Linked DNA regions of Neurospora crassa OR74A. The protein of the gene in region 1 purifies or fractionates together with the protein of each later gene. This does not show direct contact. Links are inferred from orthologs where the notes say so. Each region holds a gene or a part of one and is shown in the gene's direction. Other genes may lie near its edges.

Region 1 (6,299 bases):
AGCAGTTTGCAGTCCTTACATATTGACCCTTAAAAGTTTATTAGCGTAGTTCTTGCCCCACATACTCTTACAAGGGGGGTTGCAAAGCGGGACACATCTATCTACGGCTTCTAATTGGCTGAAATTGCCTAACCTCAAAGTGAGAGCGAATTAACAGAACACACGCACACAAACCCTCTAAATACTAGCCTAGAATTATTAGAATTACTAGAACTACTACCCTATTGCCTTCTATAATAGGAAAGTTATAGCGTACTTATAGGGTACTCTAGCGCATTCAACTAATTAGATTTTAGGATTACTTGTTAAAATAATTAGTAAATTAATAATTTTTCTTGAAATTACAATTTTGACCAAAATTACACAAATTACCCAAATTACTTAAATAGATTTAAAAAGCGGTATAAATACTAAATTTCAATTGGAATCAACGAAATCTAAAACTCTAAAGCGGATGTTTGCTCAACGCATATACTAATATTTGGTCCGTGTACGAACAAACACTAGTAATTAACTAGTAATTAACTAGTTAGTTATATATAATCCTCTTCCGCCCTTCCGTTTTTAAATCTATTCTTTTACTCTCTTTTATATACAACCCTCTCTTTTACCCTTACTAACCCTTTTTTATCTTAATACTTTATTAACTCTTATAGATTATTAACCTTTAACTTCAATTGCTTTAATAAGAGGAAATTCAATATTAAAAAGATAATAGCAATCCTATTACTAATAATAAAGAGAATTTTATTTATACGGGTAATATAGACTATAATTATAATAAGTACGCTACTAAGGAAAGGAACTTACGTAATTAGTAATGCTATAAGCTCCTCCTTTTTACCCTGCTACGCCGCTCCGCTATTATTAACGCGCTTAATTAATATATTTACCTTCTAAATTATTACTATATATTAATTATTACTAACTATTATTATTAGTACCTTAATTACAATTATCCTTACCTAAATTTAAAAGTCCTACTCCGCCTTAACCCTAATAAATCCGCAATGCTTATAATAATAATAATAATAATAATAATAATACGCAAGACCCCCTATTGTTACCCTCGCCCAACGCTAATACTACCCTCTTATTATTAATTAACCCTACTGAATTATCTTTTACTTCTTAACTGTTACTTAAAAAGTGAAAGTTAGCGCCCACTATATATAAGGAGCATATTATCTATAAAGTACTTCGTATATATACTAAAATAGATTATAAGGAGATTACTAATTGCTTTAATTTTACTATAAGGTAAATATAATTTTAGAAATAAAATTATTAGTATTTAAATTCTAATAACTAAATAGATAAATATAATATATTTACTTATATAAAATAATCCCCTAATACTGTAAAGTAGGGGGTAGACTGTATATTATTCCGCTGTCCACCCTTAAAATTCTCTTCCACTATATAAATATACCTATAAAATTAAAGAGGTTCCTATCGTAGTACAAACTCTAGAAGCGTATCCCTGAATTTAATTAATATAGCGAATATGCTATTTAAATAGCGATAGAAGTGCAAAGTATCTGCTACGTAGAATAATCTACGCGCCTCCCCCTTAGTAAAAGAACCCGCCGCCTTCGTTTCGAATTCGCTTTACAATTCGCTAACTTTACCCTATTTAAATAGGAGTCCTAGATTTAGTTTAATAAAACGTAAGTAAATAGTATTAATTAAAGCCGTCGTTTCGTTACCCTCTTTAAAAATAAAAATATTAACAACTTTACTAAAATTAAATCGAAACTTCGGGGATAAATATTTTAGGTTTGCTTTACGGGCAAGATAAAGAGTATATTTGTCTTTTAGAACTATAAAGAGTGGGGTACAATTACTAGTAAATCCTACTAGGAACGGATTTTCCCTCTTTTACAACAATTTTAGTTACAAAATTCGTCCTTCTATATTATACAGAATAATACTCCTTCTTATAGTTTACGAGCAATAAAGGTATTTATAGCTCAAATTTTCGATCCCGCAAAGGTTATCCCTTGGCCCCCTTACTCTCCCGATTTTAATTCTATTAAAAACGTCTGGAATTGGATAAAAAATTGGATTGAGTGTAAATACCTAATTAAACCAACTAGATTGAGTCTCAAATCTACAATCGAGGAAGCTTAGGAAGCTATTCCAGTCGATTACCTTTAACGGTTAGTATATTTAATGCCTAGAAGAATACAGGCGGTTATTACTGCGAATAGAAGCCATACCTAATACTAGGGGAAGTATCGGCTATAAAAAGGTACTCGGATTACCCTAGTTTTAGTATAGCAAATACAGTAATTCTCCGTAACTCCTTTCTCCCTATTCAAAATCTATAGGGTCCATATATGCAATTCTATTAGTTTTATTCCCTATCACCCCCCTTATCATTCCCCTATCAAAATCCCCTATAAGTACCGAACTAACGAACTTTCCAGGGGTGATGTGTACTACCAGAGGGAATGCGGGCAACTGAAATCTTTAGCAAAAGGGGGGGTTTTAGCAAAAGTGGGGGTTAGCAAAAGCAGGGGTTTCTACTGTGTAACTGCCTGCATTCACACCTACCCGACTCGACCTCAGCTGGGGCAAGAATGCGACAATACACTGGACCCACCCGCCGCCCAAGGCAACGAGAGCTTGAGGTAAGCTCCATCGATAGCTACGTACCTTTGTCCGTGCGTCAACGCCAGCCCATTGCCCGCCTGCCGACTTGTTCAGTTGCATCAACACAACATCTCAATCCGGAACAGTTCATCCATCAAACAACCATTTCGTCTACCATACCCGAGCCCTTCGACCTGCGCGCTTACCGGTCTATTCACAAACCCAAGAAACAGTCAATCACGCTGACGCCTCAAGACAGCCTGACGTCACCTTTCCTTCAACTAGACAAACCGCCAGTCGCTGCAATATCTCCACAATAATGGCGGACCAGGAGCGCCAACATGCCTTGGCTTCGTTCAAGGCGAAACTGATCGAGTCGCGAGAGTGGGAAGCAAAGCTTAAGAACTTGCGTCTGGAGCTCAAGGGCCTACAGAAGGAGTACGACCAAACAGAAGAGAACATCAAGGCGTTGCAAAGTGTCGGCCAGATCATCGGCGAGGTCCTGAAGCAACTGGACGATGAGAGGTGTACGTCTTGCATCCCCTATCCATTCTCTGGAGACCATTACGAACTTATTATGCCACAGTTATTGTCAAGGCCTCCTCCGGCCCCAGATACGTCGTCGGCTGCCGATCAAAGGTCGACAAGGCGAAGCTCAAGCAGGGAACACGTGTGGCGCTCGATATGACAACTCTCACCATCATGCGCATGCTCCCCCGCGAGGTCGACCCGCTAGTATACAACATGTCGCTCGAGGATCCTGGCCAAGTCAGCTTCGGGGGTATCGGCGGTCTCAACGATCAGATTCGTGAGCTCAGAGAGGTTATTGAGCTGCCCCTCAAGAACCCAGAGCTGTTCTTGCGAGTCGGAATCAAGCCCCCCAAGGGTGTCTTGCTCTATGGCCCTCCAGGTACCGGAAAGACATTACTAGCCAGGGCTGTCGCGAGCAGCTTGGAGACCAACTTTTTGAAGGGTAAGCTCGCACCCTCTTTGTCTTGCATCTTGACGGCGCCAATACTCGAACACATGTCACTAATACTGCGCGTTCGTAGTCGTCTCCTCCGCCATCGTCGACAAGTACATCGGTGAATCCGCCCGTTTAATCCGCGAAATGTTCGGCTACGCCAAGGAACACGAGCCCTGCATCATCTTCATGGACGAGATCGATGCCATCGGTGGCAGGCGTTTCAGCGAGGGTACATCTGCCGACAGAGAAATCCAGCGTACACTTATGGAGCTCCTCAACCAGCTCGACGGTTTCGACTATCTCGGCAAGACCAAGATCATCATGGCGACGAACCGCCCCGATACCCTCGACCCTGCTTTGCTGCGTGCCGGCCGTCTAGATCGCAAGATTGAGATTCCTCTGCCGAATGAGGTCGGTCGTCTGGAGATTCTGAAGATTCACGCCTCTGGTGTGGTTATTGAGGGCGATATCGACTACGAGAGTGTTGTGAAAATGAGCGATGGCTTGAACGGTGCTGATTTGCGCAATGTGGTTACTGAAGCGTAAGTTGACAATTTCCTGCTTTTAAAAAAATGCCGACCATGCAGCACCCAGCTAACTCTTCTATTTTACATAGTGGTCTGTTTGCGATCAAGGACTACCGCGATGCGATCAACCAAGACGACTTCAACAAGGCGGTGCGCAAGGTTGCCGAGGCCAAGAAGCTTGAGGGCAAGCTCGAATACCAGAAGCTATAATAAGACTGGAGTAGTTGGTGGTTGGAGTTGTGGGGGAGGAGGTGGTAGCAGTTGAGCAAACAACAGTGATGAAGCATCTTAGACACGGACAAGGCAGACTTTGCGCCCTACCTAGATGCGGGTGGGGAAGATGATGATAGGCGAGCTTTCAGCTGTAATTTGTACACAAGCGACTACCACGATGCCCGCAGGAAGGGCGTCAGAATGGCTATTTGATGGCTTATGGCATCGTTCCCTTCCTTCAACCCTAGGGTGAAGCTTGACGGTTCTTAATTTTGGGCAGTAACGATGACATGTCCTTGAAATTCGCATCCTATCTTAGTTCTTCAGGACCATCCTCAATCGAATGGCTGGAATTGGGTAAACAAAATTACCGTAGAAATCATCTCCGCTTCAGATGACCATATCTTCCACGTGGTGGTAGCTGTCTAACCTTGTCACAAGGAGGTAAGCAACACAAAAACTCAGTATGGACGGGAGTGACCCCCCCCCCCCCCCCCCCGGAGCCACGGTTGTTTCCTCCCACAACATTAGTAAAGTAGGTAGCACCGCTTTCACCACCGCCATGCAGCTTCCCGGCTGCTGGTCTACGGCACCCGCTTTGTTATGCCTTACTGTTGAGAAGGATGGATGAGCAGATGTCTAGGTGGATGGACGTACGGATGGATGGATCATGATGGCAAGATGGTTCCGGTTTGTGCAACCCTGCCAATCAACCATGTTTAGTGTTTTTTTTTTTTCCCGCGCCTCATCATGAAAACCAGAGGGAAGATTGTCCGATTGTCTTTGCCCCTCAGGCAACGAGGTTGAATACGCTTGCCTTCCTTCTTTTGTACATGTTCCACGTGCATGTATGGACATGCAAGTGTTGATCAGCTCGGTTTCGGGTCAAACACGGACGGAATTTTGTCGGTCTAGACCTCCTAGCAAAGACAAGGAGGAAGTCTCCGGCATCACGTTTTCCGGCCGCGGTTATTGTCCGGTCTGTAAGTGACTTAGTTCTGTGCCACTCACTTCTCCGCATGTTTCCATGGTTCCATCCGGTTCCTGATTGCCTTGTGAGCTTGTGAAGGTGGATCAACCCAAAATATCTTTCCCGCTTGCTTACCTGCTGTGTTGTGTACATACACTGACAAACGATAATATGTGTAAAAGAAAATCGTAGGTGAATTGGCTTATAACTTGCCAATGTGCACTTTACCTCTTGTGGTGATGCGATGGAGCAGATAGTGTTATGCGGCTCAGTGGCTGGGATGGCTGGGTGGCTAGTGTAAAAGTAGTAAGTAGGCGTGGTAGGGTGCCATTCATCTCTCTCTGTGAATGGTAGTAGTGTCTGTTCCTGTTCCTGGGCGGGCGCCGCCGCCGAAGAGCGGATCAACACGATACGAGGTAGCATGGCAGATAGAACTCTAGTCGCATTGGTTTGTGGAGCGGCTGGTCGATACAATAGTATAGATATCCGGCTAGGATGAATGGTGGTCACGCTAACATTATCATGCTCATGGCGGTAGAGTAGTGTGTAGCATTATTGCCATGTGAAAGATAGAGTGAGAGCTTGCCGGGTTTGAACAAGGCGCCACCGTATTGTAAGATTGCACAAAGATCGAAAAAGGGAAACTGGACCGCGGACGTTGTTCGTATTTTCCTTTGGGTTTGTGGCTGACTGGCTGATGATCTTTCTAGAAAGAGAGGTATGGACGAATTCCATCAACCTAGCTAACTCTTGTGACATGGTGTTCTCTTTGGGGACACCTTCCATCATCCAGCATATGAATGACCCGGCATTCTGGGAGCAAAGATTTCATGGGTTGCTAAGAATAGCAGGAATCCGGCCGGCGGCCGAATGGTATTCGTTTTCCACATTTTTAGCGGCCTGGATGGTCCTCCTTGTGCCCGTGGAGAAGGGTGCCACAGCCGCAAAAAGTGGGCTCCTGAAAGATGACTTCCACCTCTGTCGGTTGCTTGGAAATTCAGCTAGCGATCTAGGGCAAGCCGTG
Region 2 (4,788 bases), on another chromosome or scaffold:
CCAGATCGGAAAGTGGGGTTTTATCTAGTTGATCATCGGGGAAGGACTCCAATGGAGGGAGGTCGTCGATGTCTCGAGGTACGGTATGCCTGCCGATATCAAGCAAGTCCCGATCATTGATTCTCTTGACTCGACGAACGGGTGGAGCTTTTTCAATGAGAAGGAGAAATGCGAGTATGATCGGATTAGGTTCGTATGTACCGTAGGTTTGTTGTCAGGTTTTCGTTCTTGGGCTGAGCTGCGGCTTGTTTCTGAAAGGGCTTCGTGGTCAGCAGCGGGGCTGGTCTTTTAAGTATTCGCCCAAGTACGTGAAGGAACTAGTGTAGTAGCATTGCCCCAGAGAAAAGAAAAAAGAGGAAAAGGAAAAAAAGGAACGAGGGGAAAGAGGCGACGAGGCGTCCAAGAGACAGTGCCTTTTCCAAGAGAGACAATCGAAAAAGGGTCCCCGATGCCGTCCGCGGTTTTCACACCTTGTTCCATTCCAAGGTTGCTGCCCTGGAACTTGGGCAAACTGTGGCATAAACTGTCATAAGTCCTTCATTTGATACTGTGTTGTGTCAGTATCCATCCCAAGGTATACTGGAGATAATATCCAATGCAGCCGGCACGTCTAAGCCGCGCTCTTCTGCACACCGTACGGTACAATCTACATCTCAATCGTAGCCCTCTGGGTCTTGCATCATCCAAGAATATGGTCTGGGTTCTAAAGCCGGGTTCCAGCCATGACGGAATGGCCGATTCCCCCCAGATCTCCATATAGTCTCCGGGGTACCTATCATCCATTTCTCTCAACTCGCGAATGGCCAGGGCAAAGGCCAATCGAGTCTCAATGGGACTTCTAGGTCAGATTCGATATAAGCACTGCAGATATCGGCATCCCATGTCGTGTAACCACTTGCTAGAGGTGACATTGGAGTCCCGAACTGGTTCACCGCAATGGCTCAGTTGAGCAGATATGTATGAGGTTCAGTTTGCAACAAGAGGGGAAAAGAGAAAAGAACAAAGGTCTCGGAAGATTGGTTTGATGCCGCACCATAGAGCTACCGGGACAAAGTGTTTGCAACTGAACCAGCAGGAAGTTCTTCTTGTTAGTTGTTTGCCTCTATACCCAAGATTTCCTGGTGGGCTGATTCGCGCTCTACGTGTTGAACTAGAAATCTTAACTGCAGGCAGTATACTGTAGTATGCAAGAAATGGGAAGCCATCTGCAACTGTCAGTGATGGTTCGGACGAACTGCAATGCCTGAACAGTGCAGCGTTGATCTTCCAATATGTACAGACCAGACATCAATGACGATGCCAAACAGAAAGACACACCAAGAGCACAATCACAGCTCAGCGGCGGGGGACATACCAAAGTGGGTCCCAGAGCTTTTTGCCAAGATCTGCGACATGGCCCGTGCTCTTTCTTGCCGCCCCTGGCTCGGCCAGGCCAAGTGCAGTGGGCGGAGGAAGCCGAATTGGCACGTCGTCTCGCTGCCGCCTTGGGTTGGGGGCCCGTCACTCGGCAGCTGCAGTTGACGGAACAAACGACAAGATCACGAGCTGTCACGACTGACGGACCAAAAGCTACTACCTAGAGCTATCAACCACCGCAGCGCCCAACATCTTGCCGCCGCCAAACCGACGATTTCGATTCTCCTCCGTGCGCATAATACCAAACAACAAAACCAAGCGCAATCATCATCACCACGACGTGATTAAAAGTACGCCCGACGAGTTTGCCCGCCTTTCGAACAATTCGTCGATACAATCCATCCGTCTAGCGTCATCAGCTTCAGTCCAGCTGGTCCCATCCCTCTATACCTACACACACAAATCACAACATTCACAATGGCCTCAACACAACCCAAGAACGACGCCAAGTCGACCGAGCCCAAGCCCGAGCAGCCCGTTACCGAGAAGAAGACGGCCGTGTTGGAGGAGGACGACGAGTTTGAGGACTTCCCCGTCGATGGTTAGTCTGCCCGCCATGGCTAAGAAGCACCTTTTGCTGGACGCCGCATCGCATTTCAAACACCACCGCATCACGACCTGCTTCCATATATCATATCATTCAACAACCTCTCTGCCTATACCCTTCATCATTGGCACGGACACTACATACCAAACTTCCTTCAACTTGCGCAACTGCGGAGGCTAGCTCCCCCAGCTGTTGTACCGCACATGTAACTAACAAAATAACCAAAATAGACTGGGAAGCCGAAGACACAGAAGCCGCCAAGGGCAACAACGAGGCCAAGCACCTATGGGAGGAGTCCTGGGACGACGACGACACGAGCGACGACTTTTCCGCCCAGCTAAAGTACGTTTTTTTTGTTTTTTTTTTCCTTTTCTTTTCGTACTCCTTCCTTCCTTCTTCCTTCCCTTTTTACCTGCGTCCCTCCCTCCCTTTCCCTCTCCCTCCTCCTCCTACTCCTTTACTATGAACTTCCACTTCACGTAATTAGCTAGCTTTGCGCTAGGAGTTGGGATTGAAAATCCTAGACCCGGGTTGGCGCGTATTGCGCTGGGCCAGTCAGTCAGGCGTTAAAATGAATCACACCATTTTGGAACTTTATGGAGGAAACAAAAAGCAAAGCCGTATAAAGCGACAGTTGCTGACTTGTCTTTTTCAAACCATTAGGGAGGAGCTCAAGAAGGTTGAGGCTGCCAAGAAGCGGTAATCGGAGGACTTTCGAAGCTTGTACAAAGTATGATATGAGGGGAGGACAGGCGCATCAATACAATGTTGACCAAAGTTTCAGTCCGGGATCTTGCGGTGACATTGCTGTGCGAGGCTTCGATATGCGAGTGAAAGGTGAAGGAGACCCTCCGACTATAAAGAGACAATATCCGGAGACGTACCGACTTGTGTAGTCATTGACACAAGTCATTGGGTATCAACACGGGATTGAGATGATCTGCATAGACTTCGTCTCGAACTTGGTGCATAAACTCGAATAATATCTTGGGATGAACCAGATTCGTCAAGCTTATCCGCACATCACACTTCGAATCATAAAAACTGGACTTTAACTGTTTTGTTCTATTTATCGACTTTGGACTGAGTGCCTATCATAGACTGGCCCTGCTAATCCTTCCAAGGACCCTTTATCATCATATGTTTTTTTGATCCATCAGTCATGATCTCTCATTCAATATCCGAGAGGTTTCATAACATCATTATATCTCCTTCCCAACTCCTTTGAAAGCCAAGGACAAACTTACTGACGCTCGCTAAGAGCAACAACACCAGGGAGAGCCTTGCCCTCAAGGAGCTCAAGAGAAGCACCACCGCCAGTGGAGACGTGGCTGAGCTTGTCCTCAACGCCGTACTTGGCAGCGACGGTAGCGGTGTCACCACCGCCAATGATGACGGTGCGGCCTTCCTCGGCAGCCTTGACGCAAGCGTCGAGGGTGGCCTTGGTGCCCTTGGCGAACTTGTCGAACTCGAAGACACCGGCGGGGCCGTTCCAGAGGATGGTCTGGGACTCGTTGATGGCCTGGGTGAAGAGCTTGACCGACTCCTCGCCGCAGTCGAGACCCATCCAGCCGTCGGGAATGCCGTCCTTGTCTGTGGCGTAGCCAGTGTTGGCGTCCTTGTCGAACTTGTCGGCAATGGTGAAGTCGACGGGGAGCACGAGCTTGACGTTGTTCTTCTCGGCCTTCTTGACAAGGTCAGGGACAATCTTGGCGCCGGCCTCATCGAAGAGCGAGTTGCCGATGGGCATGTTCTGGAGGGTCTTCTTGAAGGTGAAGGCCATACCACCGCAGACGATGAGGGTGTTGACCTTGTCGAGCAGGTTGTCGATCAGCTGGATCTTGTCGGAAACCTTGGCACCGCCGAGGATGGAGAGGAAGGGGCGCTGGGGCGACTCGAGAACCTTGGCAAAGTACTGGAGCTCCTTCTTCATGAGGAAACCGGCGGCCTTGACGGGGAGGTCAATGCCGACCATGGAGGAGTGGGCGCGGTGGGCAGTGCCGAAAGCATCGTCTGTGGAATATGGTGTTAGCTACTGTGCCCAATCTTGAAGCCGAGGGGACTGGAAAACTCACTGATGTACACATCACCGAGCTTGGTGAGGTTCTTGCGGAACTCCTCAACCTTGGCCTTGTCGGCCTTGACCTTGTTGCCCTCGGCATCGGTGCCCTTGCCCTCCTCCTCAATGTGGAAGCGGAGGTTCTCAAGGAGAATAACTTCACCGTTGTCGGCCTTGTTGACGATCTCCTCAACCTCGGGACCAACGCAGTCGGGGGCGAAGGTGACCTTCTTGCCGAGGAGCTTCTCGAGCTCAGGAACAACGGGCTTCAGGGAGTACTTGGGGTTGGGCTTGCCGTCGGGACGGCCAAGGTGAGACATGAGGACAACGGCCTTGGCGCCATGGTCGAGCGCATACTTGATGGTGGGAATGGCACCGGCGATGCGCTGGGGGTTGGTGACCTTCTTCTCGGCGTCAAGGGGGACGTTGAAGTCGACCTAGAGAAGGGTGGCATGTTAGAACTTTTGTCTGGTCACCCACCCATCCACCTATATGAATCACACAGCGACATCAGGAGCTAGCTAGCGCTAGAAGAAACTTACACGGATGAGGACGCGCTTGCCCTTGAGGTCGACGTCCTCGATGGAGAGCTTGTTGGAGAGAGACATGATGGCGGTTTGTATGTGACTAGGTATTACGAATTGGAGAGACGATGGGAAGGAAGATCAAGAGAGAGAAAGGAACAAACACAAGACTACGAGAGGATGTCTTATCAACAGAATGAAGGCGAAGGGTGAGAATCAGGTGGATATGCGACAACACGCGA
Region 3 (5,145 bases), on another chromosome or scaffold:
CCCCTGCCGCCATGACCGCCACGAGCCACCATACTTCGATACCGATCGCGCGCCTGGTCGATAGAGACATCTGCTGGGTCCAGCCCAACATAGAGCTCTACGGGCTGTGGCGCCTGCTGCCATTTGCCCAAATCACCGCCCTTGCCGCATCCAATGTCGAGCACCAACAGCTGATTGTTCGAACTGATTCCCCGCTCACGAGCGCCAGGCGAGTGGTCTTCGTCAGGAGAAAACTTCTGGATGATACAGCTCTTGACCCAGTTGTTGAAGGAGCGGAGACCTTTGATGCGACTGTCCGTCTTACGCCAGTCACGGCCACGCTCGGGCACAGCATTGTAATGGGCACGTACGACGTCATTGACCGCGTTGCGGCGCTCAGCTTCGGCGGCCGCTTCTGCCTCCCGCTGAGCCTGGCGCTCGCGCTCCATCTGACGTTGACGAATCTGTTCGCGCTCGGCTTCCGTGATGCGGGCACGTTGGCCAGGCCGCTTCTGCTTTCTAGGCTCGCCGCTGGTAGTGGGGGTTTGTGTTCTCTTGGCCGGAGCTAACTTGCGGGCATCAAACGGCTGTGGGAGGACATCGTTGTCGTCCTCATCTTCGTCATGCCTCGCAGACTTGTATCGACGGTCTTCGTTGCGGCCATTGCGGTCGTCGTCGTAGGGCGATTCTGAGCGTTGCCTCTTGCGAGTGGACCTATAACTGGTGTAACCATCGTAGCCTGACATTTCTGGAAAAAACTGTTGGTGTGGTCTCGCAAGGAGACTTGATCATCGGCAAGAACAACTATGGCAAGCGTACAGGCTTCGTGTAACAGCAGAATAACTGATGCGACGGTGAGTGGTGTGAGTTGTGATTTTGACTGTTGATATCGATTGATGCGAGTACAGACACAGGCAAATCCTGAAAGTGAATTCTGGGACTCGAAATTCGGTATGTCGAAGTTGAAAGCTCTTGTTATTGTTGTTGTTGTTGTTGTTGTCGAGGAGAGAAAGCAATTGGAAAGGAAGTCGGGATGCAAGTGTTTTGAGGATGCAAGCATGGGTCGGTCGGTGTTTGAGCCGATGAAGTGTGCCTGCCCGGGCACTGTTCCAGCGGCTCCACTTGCAGGCCTGGCCCGCCTTCCAAGCTCTGTCTCCACTTTCCAGTGCTGACGCGCGAGCTCTGGGGGCCTTGGTCACTCTCCAGTGAGGTCAGCTACTCTATCGACCTTCCGAACCATTCAAGGAGCACCACAACTAAACCACAGACATCACCACCACCCAGCCTCACCTCGACCCGGCATCTTTGGTAGAATCACAGCGCCAGGCCAAGTCACACATTGCGATCCAGTTTCCAAGAGCTTTCAACACCGCGAAACTTCCCATCTTAAGCCGGCATCCACCTCCATCAGCTGCTTGCCGATTTCCAGCGGGGTGCTTCTACCAGACGACGGACACTGACCAGCACCGGACCGTCTTCCATTTGCATCCTCCTCTCCCATCTCCCTCCTTGGCTCGTAAGCTAGCACCCATCACAACTACAAAATGGGCTCCGATCCTCAATACGCGAAATGGCCTCTGCTGCCCCTCGCCCAGCATGTCTTCACCCTCACAAACCCCTACGCCGCCCGCCCTGCCCAACAAGCGGCCGTTAAGAACCTTCAAGATGCCATCACCGAGCACAAGATGGCGCCCTTTTACCGATACCTCGCGCACCCTACCGAGGGTGTCCTTAACTCTGTTGGGGAAGGCGGCTCCAACACTGCCGGTGCCGGAAGGTTGGGTAGGAAGAGCAGCATCGCCGCCGGCATGATCGCGACCCACAAACCCACCACAAGCTTAAGCCTACCGTGGGATGAGAACCTGTACCAGCAGCTGCAGGCCGAGAACGAGAAGGAGCTTGAGGAGTTCCAAAAAGAGGAAGATGAGGCTGTCGAGAAGGCGGGAGACACAGAGATCCAGGCTGCCAAGGGAAAGAGGGCCGAGTTCTGGGCCCGAGTTGGCGATAAGGTTGGTCACTACAAGTTCACTTAGCTACCCATCCACTCCCACCAACCGACATATACTAAGCATACACTCTTCCTATTCAGGAAAAAGCCATCGCCGCGCACCAAGATCTGCTCGAGAAGACGAGCATTCTAGGTACCAAGATCGATCTCGTCCTCGCCTTAATCCGCCTCGGCCTCTTCTTTGGCGACAAGCAGCTAGTCCAGAAGACTGTCGAGCGCGCCAAGTCGCTTGTCGAATCGGGCGGCGACTGGGACCGTCGCAACCGCCTCAAGGCCTACGAGGGTCTGCACTTGCTCACCGTGCGCAACTACAGCGGCGCCGCCCCCTTGCTCCTCGACAGTCTGTCCACCTTTACCTCGTACGAACTCTGCACCTACAGCAACCTGGTGGTCTACGCCGTGCTCGCCGGTTCCGTCTCGCTCAAGCGCGTCGACTTCAAGTCCAAGGTCGTGGACGCCCCCGAGATCAAGGCGATTCTTGGCGACGGAGAGGACAAGCTGCTCGCACTGACCGGCGCCATCTCGGCCGGCCCGGGAGCCGACGCCTCGATGCAGGACGCCGATAACGCCCCCGTGGCGGCCCGGACGGCTGTAGTTAACCTGACCACGCTCGGCAGCAGCACGGAACAGCCTGAGGCGGAGATGGCGGTCGACTTTGACCCGCTCGCGCAGCTGGTTAGCAGCCTGTACAACGGCCGGTACAAGCTCTTCTTCCAGGCGCTGGCCCTGGTGGAGGAGCAATTCCTCACCCAGGACCGCTACCTGCACGAGCATAAGAACTGGTTCATCCGCGAGATGCGCCTGCGCGCGTACCAGCAACTGCTGCAGAGCTATCGCGTTGTGGGACTGGATAGCATGGCCAACGACTTTGGTGTTACCGTGGATTTCTTGGATCGGTTGGTTTTCCCCTTGTTTTTGTTCTACCCCTCTTCCCCCCGACACAAGTTCTATATATACTGATCGTACATCACAAAAACAGTGACCTAGCAAAGTTCATCGCCGCCGGCCGTATTCCCTGCACCATCGACCGCGTCAATGGCAAGGGTGTTATCGAGACCAACCGGCCCGACGACAAGAACAAGCAGTATCAGGACGTGGTTCGCCAGGGTGACCAGCTGATTACCAAGCTGCAGAAGTACGGACAGGCTGTTCGGTTGAGGGGAAGCGAAAGGGCGTAGTAGAGAACCAACTTGAAGAGAGTTAGAAGCTAGCAGTGAAACAAGGGGAAGGTCAATGATGTATAAGCGAGCTGTGCTATCGTTAGCGATTACCTTGGGAAGAAGGGAAGGGGATATGAATGATCAAGGGCATGGATTGAGTGGATGGATGAAAGGCGGAGAGAAATCAGAAGAGAATAGAGCCTAAAGCAACCTATCACATTAAATTGTCGTTAGGGCCTAACTCGTCTCTAGTAAGGACAAATGACACAAAACGACTTGCTCCTCATTGTCACGGATATTGCATCATGTGTTCATAAGACTCCGTTTCTTCTTGTCCAGGCTTTTTTACTTTTGTATTCGTATGTCCCTCGTATCCTGGATAAGGCTACGTACATACGTGCAATGCAAAAGGCTAGCAAAAAGTACAAACGCTGAGGTATCATCAAAGATCCCATAACCAACCAACCAACCAACCAAACCAAACCAAAAGCCGAACCAAATCGCTCTTTTTTTGTCCTTCATACTCCGAGTTCTGCTTGGTAAACAAGATTTCGCTCGCTTTTTCCGTACCATGTTTCCCCTCAACTTCATTATCCGGTCCCGGCGCTGGGATGGGCAACATATCTATCCCTAAGGTAGATGAGCGGACAGGGCAGGTGACATTCTACAAGGGAGAGAAGGGATGATATCTCCAGGGTCACACCCTGTTCTTCCGCGGCAGCTTTGATACTTGAGGGGCTGCAGAACCGATGAACGAGCGCCCCCCTTGTGCGCAGCGTCATAGTCAGACCATCCATCCATCTCGAGGACACTCGACACCCACCCATCACCACCGTGACGAACCGCAAAGAGTCCTTTCATCAAGTACCGTTTTCGAATCAAAATACACTTTGACAGTGGTGTGAGCCGTTCAACGATATTGATCCATGAACTCCTTGTGGAACTTGACAATGCTGCCAACCCACTCGGTACCAGGAGCAAGGAAGGTAGTGCGGAAGTGCAAGCTACCCTCCTTCTGACCGAACCCAGAACCAGGAACAACGCAGACGCCGGTAGCCTCGAGGAGCTTCATGCAGTAGAACTCGTCGGGGGTACGGCCCTCCTTGGCGGCGGCCTCGGCGGCCTTGGGGGGCAAGTTGATGGTAGGGAAGAGGTACATGGCACCCTGGGGAGCACCGCACTCGACGCCCTCCATCTGCTCAAACGCCTTGTGGAGAGCGTTGGCGCGCTCCCTCATGCCCTCGTAGATGCCGCGGTACTCCTTCTCGTAGAGCTCGTAGGAGGGCTCGCCGGGCTTGGGCGGATTGACCATCAGCTCGACCAGGCACTGGCCAATGACAGGCGCGCAGAGCATGATGCTGACGAACTTGTAGATTTCAGCCTGGACTTCGGGATCAAAGTTGACCAGCTCAAAGTAGCCACCGCGGTGGCCGCACTCGCCCACCATGCCCTTGGAAATGGAGTGGAGGGAAGCCAGCTCGACGCAGTCGTACTTGCCGTCGGGGTTCTCCTTCTGCAACTGGCGGAGCACGCGCTTGAACGAGATGAACTCGCCGATGAAGACGTTGGTCTGGTAGACTTCGTCGGCGAGGACGACAAGGCGCTCCTGGCGCGCGAACTCGAGGACGGCGCGGATGTCCTCCTCGGAGAGGGAGGCGCCGGTGGGGTTGCCGGGGTTGATGATGACGATGGCGCGAGTGTCGACGCCGGCGTCCTTGGCCTTTTGGTACGACTCCTTGATGGTGTTGATGTCGGTGCCCCAGTTCTTGGACTCATCGAGGAGGTAGGGAACGCAGGTGGCGTTCAGGATGGAGAGCGAGGCGGTGTAGAGAGGGTACTGGGGGATGGGAACCAGGATGCCGCTCTTCTCATCGGCGCAGATGATGTGCAGGAGGGTGTTGACTCCCGAAGAAGCACCGGCAGAGAGGTAGATGTCTTGCCAGTTGGCAGGGAAGCCATCGCGCCCTAGGAAGCGAAAAAAAGAAAGGGATGTTAGCA

Evidence for each region.
Region 2: the proteins of rpt-4 (region 1) and NCU07913 purify together in Saccharomyces cerevisiae (affinity purification with mass spectrometry; 5 studies listed by BioGRID, with this or other methods). This does not show direct contact. The link is inferred for Neurospora crassa OR74A from reciprocal best matches to the Saccharomyces cerevisiae genes RPT4 and SEM1.
Region 3: the proteins of rpt-4 (region 1) and rpn-7 purify together in Saccharomyces cerevisiae (affinity purification with mass spectrometry; 3 studies listed by BioGRID, with this or other methods). This does not show direct contact. The link is inferred for Neurospora crassa OR74A from reciprocal best matches to the Saccharomyces cerevisiae genes RPT4 and RPN7.

Annotation. Positions count from the first base shown.
Region 1 is NC_026501.1:6,197,529-6,203,827, forward strand, and holds rpt-4 (proteasome 26S subunit), read left to right. Parts: upstream 1-2,672; 5' UTR 2,673-2,917; coding exon 2,918-3,125; intron 3,126-3,184; coding exon 3,185-3,571; intron 3,572-3,650; coding exon 3,651-4,107; intron 4,108-4,181; coding exon 4,182-4,302; 3' UTR 4,303-4,693; downstream 4,694-6,299. UniProt on the Saccharomyces cerevisiae protein: The 26S proteasome is involved in the ATP-dependent degradation of ubiquitinated proteins. The regulatory (or ATPase) complex confers ATP dependency and substrate specificity to the 26S complex.
Region 2 is NC_026504.1:1,370,693-1,375,480, reverse strand, and holds NCU07913 (hypothetical protein), read left to right. Parts: upstream 1-1,474; 5' UTR 1,475-1,833; coding exon 1,834-1,957; intron 1,958-2,193; coding exon 2,194-2,305; intron 2,306-2,626; coding exon 2,627-2,666; 3' UTR 2,667-3,110; downstream 3,111-4,788. Other genes in the region: NCU07912 (hypothetical protein), read left to right, coding at 29-292; pgk (phosphoglycerate kinase), read right to left, coding at 3,207-3,976, 4,039-4,459, 4,565-4,630. UniProt on the Saccharomyces cerevisiae protein: Versatile protein that might stabilize multiple protein complexes involved in diverse pathways. Subunit of the 26S proteasome which plays a role in ubiquitin-dependent proteolysis.
Region 3 is NC_026506.1:2,285,848-2,290,992, forward strand, and holds rpn-7 (proteasome regulatory particle), read left to right. Parts: upstream 1-1,167; 5' UTR 1,168-1,523; coding exon 1,524-1,988; intron 1,989-2,068; coding exon 2,069-2,883; intron 2,884-2,966; coding exon 2,967-3,165; 3' UTR 3,166-3,482; downstream 3,483-5,145. Other genes in the region: NCU03971 (mRNA cap guanine-N7 methyltransferase), read right to left, coding at 1-725; ala (alanine aminotransferase), read right to left, coding at 4,058-5,112. UniProt on the Saccharomyces cerevisiae protein: Component of the 19S cap proteasome complex which acts as a regulatory subunit of the 26S proteasome, involved in the ATP-dependent degradation of ubiquitinated proteins.